Linked DNA regions of Rattus norvegicus. The protein of the gene in region 2 purifies or fractionates together with the protein of the main gene of each other region. This does not show direct contact. Links are inferred from orthologs where the notes say so. Each region holds a gene or a part of one and is shown on either strand. Other genes may lie near its edges. The genes, in order: Armcx3 and Ranbp6.

Region 1 (4,529 bases), on a different chromosome or scaffold from region 2:
CATGGTGGCTTTCAATTCCCAGGACTTTATCAGCACACACTTGAAATTCTTTTAAAAAGAAAAAAAGGGAACCCTCACTAAAGTGATTCTGAGCAGGCTCGTTTTCTTCCCATTTGAAATTGTCATTGATATTCTCAAAAATGCTCAGGAGTTTAAGAATAACCTCTTTGTACTCCTTCTTATTAAAGAGGGAGCCCAGTGAAGACGGCACATGAGCCCCGAGCAGTTCTCTAGTCATGGCTGGATTTTCAGCCAGATTCAAAAGGAGTTTCAGAACCTGAAGTTTGGTTTCTTCATTCCCTGCTGAAAATAAACGAAAAAAGTCTGAAATGGAATTAGCAAGGATGTGCTGATACTCGTTAGTAACAGTCATATTTGTAAGCAGTCTGAGTCCAGCCAGCTGCACAGACGAGTTCAATCGGGAGGTGACTGTGTCATCGCACACTTGATTCATGTATATCTTAAGCCTGCGCTGATTTTCAGCATTCACACTCAAGTTATTTAGGACAATTAAAGCCTTTTCCTTCACAATGGGATCTCGAGTATTGAGAATCTTTGCAACAATTGGGAGACCACCCAAATCGCGAATAATATCTCTATTAAATGCGTAAGCGGCATTATTACCCAGAGCAATTAAAGCTGCCTCAAGAATGTAAGGCTTTTCAGACATCTCAACCAAACAAAGTACTTTTTGTAACTCTTGAGGAGACAAAACAGTATCGTCTGAATTAGGAGAAGCCCTTTTCTGAACAGCTCTCCGAGCCCTGGTAGCCCTGGCTCTTGCCCTGGCTCTAGCTCTGGTCCCTGCTTCAGTGCCAATCCGGGCCCAAGGTGGGTACCAAACTATACTCTTGCTCTCATTACTGTCATCATCATCATCAGACCAGTCATTATACCTGGCCCCAGAACAGTCCCCAGCATCCTCCACATCACCGGGGCCACCCTCGGCCATTTTCTCCTTGTTCTGCTTTCTTCCTCGGGTCAATCTGTAAATGCAATAGCAGGCTCCAGCCCCAATCACCAGGCCTGCAGTCACCCAGCCTACTTTCCTGGCGTAGCCCATGCAATCGTCCCTGGCAACGGCAGGGACCAAGAAATAGAGTAGTCACTCAAGATAGGGGAAGAGGGCTTCGGGCCTGAGTGCAGGCCTGTGGAGAGTAATGTTCTTCAAGTCACTTCAAGGCCACAGTAATTGGTTTCAGAGGTAAACCTAGAAATGGAAGAGAAGAAGGTTTGGCTTTTTCTTTGTGCTGCTCCATGCAGACAATTGCTAAGTGGGGCAATAAAGTAGTAATCGAATGCTGGATAGGGAATATAGGTTGTTGACAAAAACCTCTAAGTCCCTCATTTTACTCTCCCCCCCTACATTCCTCTCCCCCCTCCCCACCCCCAGTTCACTCTTGCCCCTAAGCATAAAGGCAATGGCGTCCACAAGTATTTCTGGGCTCCCACTGTCACATGCTCCCGTGATACCCCATAGGATAAGCACTCTTGCACTGACCTCCTTAAAGCAGCGGCTTGCCCCTTCTTCCTTTCCTGTGACTTATGCCACACCCAGCAATCTTTCTGATCTGCAGAGATACCAGCAGCAGTGAAGAAAAACAAACAAACAAAAAAAAAACAAAAAACAAAAAAAAAAAAAACGAGGCTTTGACGCATCCAGTGTATATTTGATGCTTTCCTAATTTACCATCCAGGTTGTCAGATTTTGGTTAAACCTCACTGTGCCATCCAAAACACAAACATGCTATGCCCCCTCCCTAGTCTGAAATGGGTGGACGCAAGGACGCAAGGAAACAAAGTAGGATTGAGTGAGCCTGGCCAAACCCAAGCTGATTTCTAACCCCTCCCCCATTCCAGGCTGCCCCCCACGCCCACACCGACCTCCACTGCGCCGGGGAAAGTTCCTCCCTTGCTTCAAGCAGTGCCACCTGCTACAGCAGACCTGCAGGGTGACAGATGGAAAACAAGGGCACTAAGTGCTGTTGAGAGAGAAGGATTATGAAGAAACTATCTGATAGGTTTTCCTTCTGTCACCCTGCCCCCCGCCCCCACCCCCAGGAGCACACTCATACACCCAGAGACAGAGAGAGACAGGGAGCAGGGAGGGAGGCAGGCAGGGAGGGAGGGAGGGAGGGAGGGAGGGAGAGGGAGAGGGAGAGGGAGAGGGAGAGGGAGAGGGAGAGGGAGAGGGAGAGGGAGAGGGAGAGGGAGAGGGAGAGAGAGAGAGAGAGAGAGAGAGAGAGAGAGAGAGAGAGAGAGAGAGAACGCCATTTCTCCACAGTTCGGGGAGTGTGAGAAACACATTTAGACTCAAGTCTAAACCTAGATTACCTTTTCTGGTATTCCCCCCTTTTCTAGCCCCCGCTGCTCCTAGGGTCCCCAGATGGTCTTACCCTCAACTCGACCTTCACCGATCTGGTTAATTTCCTTCCTCTTCTCTTGCCTGGCGTTGTACCGCAACCTACGGAAAGACTGGCCACCCGGGAGAGGCTTGGACCCACTAGCCACAGAGCCATGGTAAGGAAGACACAGCCACAGGCAGAAAGACGGGAAACAGCCGCTACTGAGTGCTTAGTGGACGGACCAGTCCCCAGAGAACGAAACTCTTTCCTAATTCGGAGGCCTGGTTGTTAAAGCTTTCCCGCCCGAGAGCTAGGTCAGGGTTCGGCTGACACATCACATTGTACCCCACCATGCAGGACCCCATGTCCAGTTTTCCCCCTCTGGCACAGTCCTGACGGACCAGGGGCCAACACCCAGGCCACAGCTCCCTTTCCGGATTGCCGGCCTCAGCTCACAGCAGATTCCCATCTCTGGATTTCTGGATGCCTGCCCTAACACCCCTCTACTCACTGTTTTGCAGCATCGAAATGGGCTGCAGGCGGGACGTATATCTTGGAAAGAGGGCAGCAAGTGAGAGAGACGACGGCGGCGGCTCCGGACCTGCGACGGCCTCCGCCCTCTACCCTCCACCACCCCCACTTTATGGAATATCCCAGGCACTGACCTGCAGGGATCCGGGACAATTCCTTTTCCGCCTCCTTCTTTCCTCGGCCGCAGGCCCGCCCGCCCTCAGGGTAATAGGGAGCTGGTACTCAGACGGGAACAACGACCTGGACAAGAAGGACTTCTGCACACGTCAGCTCTTGGTCACGTGAGAGCGACGTAATCCACCAACTCGGATCCCCACTTTCCCCTCCCACCAGCAGTGCGGCAGAAGAGGACCCGCCCCCCTCTTTTCCCTCCCCCATACTAGGCCTTGTTACTCTTTCTTCTTTGCGGTTAATTCCATCTTCCTCTAGTCGTGCTTCCCTTCCTCCAATTACCAAAACAGGACAGCATCCTCCCCTGGGGCTATGGGTCACTTGTACTTTTTTTTAATTGACTCCTTCTTCCCTAGACTCTTGGGATAGCAGCTTCTCCCTCTACCTCCCCTCCTCCCAGCTATGAATTTCTACCATTCCCTCTGAAATATAGTCCTAAACCTGAAATGAGTAAGTCAGCACAAAAGTAAACCTGGAAGGAGAGTGTATCGTTTTTCTTTTGTAATACTTTTGTTGTCGTTGTTGTTATTTTTGCCTTGGCTTACCCTACTCACAGCTTGCATTTCTGAAGAAGACAATACAATAACGATATTTCCATCCGGGGAAATATCTCTAAAAAGTCCCACGTTTCTCACTTGTTGGAAAGTGTTATCCACTTTCCTTATAGGAATGTTAATGTCTTCTGGGGCCTATCCCATAACACCGCTGAATGAACATAGCACCTCCTGAATGAACTAATCAGCCAGCCAAGAGTATGTAACCCTTCTGACTAAGCCACAAGCACTGAAAGGCACAAGTTAACCAGGAGAAGACTTGGGCTTTCCAAAGCCAATAACAGAAAAGATTCAGGGGTACACATGCTGATACACGAGTGATATGCCAAGACCAGTATGAAAAATACTGGGGTACAGATAGAGACCAGCATCTGCAAGTGAAATAGTATTACAGGGGTGCAAAGACCAAGGCAAACCTGACTGAACTTGGCATCTAGCAATTAGTTGGAAACCATCTCACCCATTACCTTGATGAGCACAAGAATTCACTTGCAATTCTAACTTTCGAAAATAGAAAAAGGAATAAAGTAACTACATTCTCTCCGTGTTTAAGTTAGCCGCCTTTGCTTTCCGACACTGGCATAAGGTTAACTTAACACATAGTACAAGAACAAATAACGTAATACAAAGTGTAAAGCAGCTTTCCAAAACGTGAGCTCTTCGGTGAGAAATTTCCTCTCAGTTTCGATCAAGGTTGGTATCCGAGTGGAACTTTCAAAATCCCAGGAAAAACATGGGAGCACATCAATAGTTCCGAGAGTCGAGGAGTTAGCTAATCTCCAGGAAATTTTATGTCAGTATAGCTTCTAAAAAGCAGAATTGAAACATGATTTTGAACTTAGTAAAATAAATGGAACCGAATCGACTATCTGTCTCTGTATTTCCAGAACAGGTACAACAAATACTTATTCACAATCAACATAGGGCA
Region 2 (4,304 bases):
AGTCCACAGAATAAGAATCACTGTTCAGAGACTAGCGTCATATTACAAATTAATTTATGAGACCACTTATCTGGTCAGCCAACTTGTTAACATGAAAATTAGCCTTTGTCCATTTTGTGTGTATAAGCAGCAGAAATTCACAAAACCGAAATTCAGATTTCTTGGCAAAGTTTAAGACAGAACACAATAAATAAAGGTCTCTGATGATGTAGCAAAATCTAGAGCAGTTACAGTGGGAAGTTCTTGGTGACAAACGGTGGCCCCACCTTAAGACTAGGTAGAATTTATCTGTTATCTTAGGCAAGGCCTCCACCTCCCTGGCTGTTCATTTCTTGCCTTAGAGTAGTACTTTATCTGCCTCTGTCAGCCTACAGAATTACCTAAGGCTGAAATGAGAGTGACAATGGCTGACAGAAAGGAAGATCTGATCAGACTGTTACACCTTATAATTATGGTTTCAAGTAACACATCTGCCTAAATAAAAGATACATAGCCTCAGGGAATTTGTTCTTAGGATAACCTTTGCTTCTTCCTATTAACCGGTAATTAGGAATCTAGTACTGTCATATTCCAGGTCAGAAACATGTAAGGAAAATCTTGCGTAACAGAAATACAGTTTATACAGAAAACCTGGATTCAAGAAGCTTCATTATTGCTTCAGATCATCTCTCACCTTACTTGTCTTTCCACTCTCTGTTATAACCCACAGAGCAAGAGATTCTGGTGTATGCCTGAGTTTGAACATCACGGGTTCTACTTCTCTGGGTGTGGTAATGGGGAGGAAATCCCTAACCTTTAATTGAGCTTATTTTGCAAACAGCTTTATTATGGCTTGACTCATTATACCCAGTTAACAATTTAAATTGTATAATTCAGTAGTTCTTAGTATAACGGCATGACATTGGGGAAACCATCATCACTATCAACTGCAGAACATTTTTATCATCCCTCAAGAAGAAATCTCGGACAGCAGTTATACTCATTCCTCCTCCTCCCCCATTCCATAGCAAGTGCAAATTACTGTTTGTATAGATGTGCTTATTCGAGATCTTTTATTTAAAAAAATGGCATCATACAGTATGTAGACTTTCAGAGCGAATTTCTTTCCATCTCCTTCCTGCCTCTACAGGCGCACAAGCATCAGGATCGGAGAACAGAAGGGCGATACCCCTAATAGGCACTCAGCTCCCTCTACCCTGCAAAACTCGGACCCCAGCCTTCCAGCTTTAACCCGCCGCAGCGGAGGGAGCAGCGCCCCACCCATCCCCGTCGTCGCCTCACTGACGTCATTGCTCCCAGACGCAGACTCCCTCCCTCCTTCCCGGTCGCGGTAGCTTTGACAGGGCGCGATGGCGGCGGCCGGGTCTGCAGGGTTGCCGGCGACCATATCGGATAAGCAGGAGTTTTACCAGCTTCTGAAGAACCTGATCAATCCAAGCTGTATGGTGCGGAGGCAAGCCGAGGAGGTCTATGAGAATATCCCAGGTCTGTGTAAGACTACATTCCTCTTAGATGCCGTCCGAAATAGAAGAGCAGGTTATGAGGTGAGACAAATGGCTGCCGCACTGCTACGACGGCTTTTGTCCTCTGGGTTTGAGGAGGTCTATCCAAATCTACCTTCTGAAGTGCAGAGGGATGTCAAGATTGAACTGATATTGGCCGTTAAGTTAGAAACACATGCTAGCATGAGGAAAAAGCTTTGTGATATTTTTGCGGTGCTGGCCAGGAATTTGATAGATGAGAATGGCACTAACCATTGGCCAGAAGGTCTGAAATTCCTCATTGATTCGATCCACTCTAAAAATGTGGTTCTGTGGGAAGTTGCACTTCACGTTTTCTGGCACTTTCCTGGGATTTTTGGGAACCAAGATCGTCACGACTTGGATATCATCAAGAGGTTGTTGGACCAGTGTATTCAAGATCAAGAGCATCCAGCCATCAGGACATTATCTGCTAGAGCTGCGGCTGCGTTTGTCCTTGCTAATGAAAACAATATTGCTCTTTTCAAAGACTTTGCAGATTTGCTTCCTGGAATCTTACAGGCTGTGAATGATTCCTGCTACCAGGATGATGATTCCGTGCTAGAATCCCTTGTTGAGATTGCAGATACTGTACCTAAGTACTTGGGTCCCTATTTAGAAGATACTCTGCAGTTGAGCCTGAAGTTATGTGGAGACTCTAGGCTTAGCAATCTGCAACGCCAGCTGGCTTTGGAAGTAATAGTGACCTTATCGGAAACTGCGACTCCGATGTTGAAAAAGCATACGAATATTATCGCACAGGCTGTGCCTCATATATTAGCAATGATGGTTGATCTTCAAGATGACGATGACTGGGTAAATGCTGATGAAATGGAAGAAGATGATTTTGACAGCAACGCCGTTGCTGCTGAGAGCGCCCTAGACAGACTGGCTTGTGGACTTGGTGGAAAAGTAGTTTTGCCGATGACCAAGGAGCATATCATGCAAATGCTTCAGAGCCATGACTGGAAATGTCGACATGCCGGATTAATGGCCTTATCAGCCATCGGAGAAGGTTGCCATCAGCAAATGGAACCAATTCTAGATGAAACGGTTAACTCGGTTTTGCTTTTTCTTCAGGATCCTCATCCAAGGGTAAGGGCTGCTGCCTGTACTACACTTGGACAGATGGCTACAGATTTTGCACCTAGTTTCCAAAAGAAATTCCATGAAATAGTGATTACAGCTTTGTTGCGAACCATGGAAAACCAAGGTAATCAGCGTGTGCAATCTCAGGCCGCTTCTGCTCTTGTTATTTTTATTGAAGACTGCCCCAAATCATTGCTAATCCTATATTTGGAAAATATGGTAAAAAGTCTCCAATCCATCTTGGTAATTAAACTTCAAGAGCTGATTCGGAATGGAACCAAGTTGGCCTTAGAACAACTCGTGACAACCATTGCCTCGGTGGCAGATGTAATAGAAGAAAACTTTATTCCATATTATGATATATTTATGCCCTCACTCAAACACGTTGTTGAGCTCGCTGTTCAAAAGGAACTTAAGCTTCTTCGAGGAAAAACTATTGAGTGCATTAGCCATGTTGGACTGGCTGTGGGGAAGGAAAAATTTATGCAAGATGCATCGAATGTGATGCAGATACTGTTGAAGACACAATCAGACTTAAATAACATGGAAGAAGACGACCCTCAGACTTCTTACATGGTTTCAGCGTGGGCCAGAATGTGTAAGATCCTTGGAAAAGACTTTGAACAATATCTCCCGCTGGTTATTGAGCCTCTTATCAAGACTGCTTCAGCTAAGCCTGATGTCGCACTCTTAGACACACAGGATGTGGAGAACATGAGTGATGACGAGGGCTGGCAGTTTGTAAACCTCGGAGACCAGCAAAGCTTTGGCATTAAAACTTCAGGACTTGAAGCAAAAGCAACTGCTTGCCAGATGTTGGTTTACTATGCTAAGGAGTTAAGAGAAGGATTTGTGGAATACACAGAGCAAGTTGTGAAGATGATGGTTCCTCTGCTGAAGTTTTATTTTCATGACAATGTTCGCATGGCAGCAGCAGAAGCCATGCCCTTTCTCTTAGAATGTGCAAGAATTCGTGGCTCAGAGTATCTTTCACAGATGTGGCAGTTTATATGTGATCCCTTAATCAAGGCGATTGGAACCGAACCCGACACAGATGTGCTCTCAGAAATAATGAATTCTTTTGCCAAGTCCATTGAGGTAATGGGAGATGGTTGTCTCAACGATGAACACTTGGAAGAGCTGGGAGGAATTTTGAAGGCAAAACTTGAAGGGCACTTTAAAAACCAAGAGTTACGGCAAGTAAAAAGGCAAGAAGAAAATTATGACCAGCAGGTTGAAATGTCTCTTCAAGATGAGGATGAATGTGATGTTTACATTCTGACCAAAGTATCAGATATTTTGCACTCATTATTTAGTACTTACAAGGAAAAAATTTTGCCATGGTTTGAACAGCTACTCCCATTAATTGTAAATCTAATTTGTTCAAGTAGGCCATGGCCAGACAGACAGTGGGGACTATGCATATTTGATGACATCATAGAGCACTGCAGTCCAACCTCATTCAAATATGTCGAGTATTTTCGGTGGCCAATGCTACTCAATATGCGAGACAACAACCCTGAAGTCAGGCAAGCTGCTGCCTATGGACTGGGAGTTATGGCACAGTTTGGTGGAGATGATTATCGTTCTTTGTGTTCAGAAGCCGTCCCACTCTTGGTAAAAGTTATTAAGTGTGCAAATTCCAAAACCAAAAAAAATGTGATTGCTACAGAGAACTGCATCTCAGCAATCGGA

The links.
Region 1: the proteins of Ranbp6 (region 2) and Armcx3 purify together in Homo sapiens (co-immunoprecipitation; 3 studies listed by BioGRID and IntAct, counting the BioPlex papers as one, with this or other methods). This does not show direct contact. The link is inferred for Rattus norvegicus from reciprocal best matches to the Homo sapiens genes RANBP6 and ARMCX3.

Annotation. Positions count from the first base shown.
Region 1 is NC_086039.1:102,229,029-102,233,557, reverse strand, and holds the start of Armcx3 (armadillo repeat-containing X-linked protein 3), read right to left. Parts: upstream 3,095-4,529; 5' UTR 3,011-3,094; intron 2,476-3,010; 5' UTR 2,397-2,475; intron 1,946-2,396; 5' UTR 1,885-1,945; intron 1,572-1,884; 5' UTR 1,502-1,571; intron 1,211-1,501; 5' UTR 1,064-1,210; coding exon 1-1,063. UniProt on the Homo sapiens protein: Regulates mitochondrial aggregation and transport in axons in living neurons. May link mitochondria to the TRAK2-kinesin motor complex via its interaction with Miro and TRAK2.
Region 2 is NC_086019.1:236,987,497-236,991,800, reverse strand, and holds the start of Ranbp6 (ran-binding protein 6), read left to right. Parts: upstream 1-1,349; coding exon 1,350-4,304. UniProt on the Homo sapiens protein: May function in nuclear protein import as nuclear transport receptor.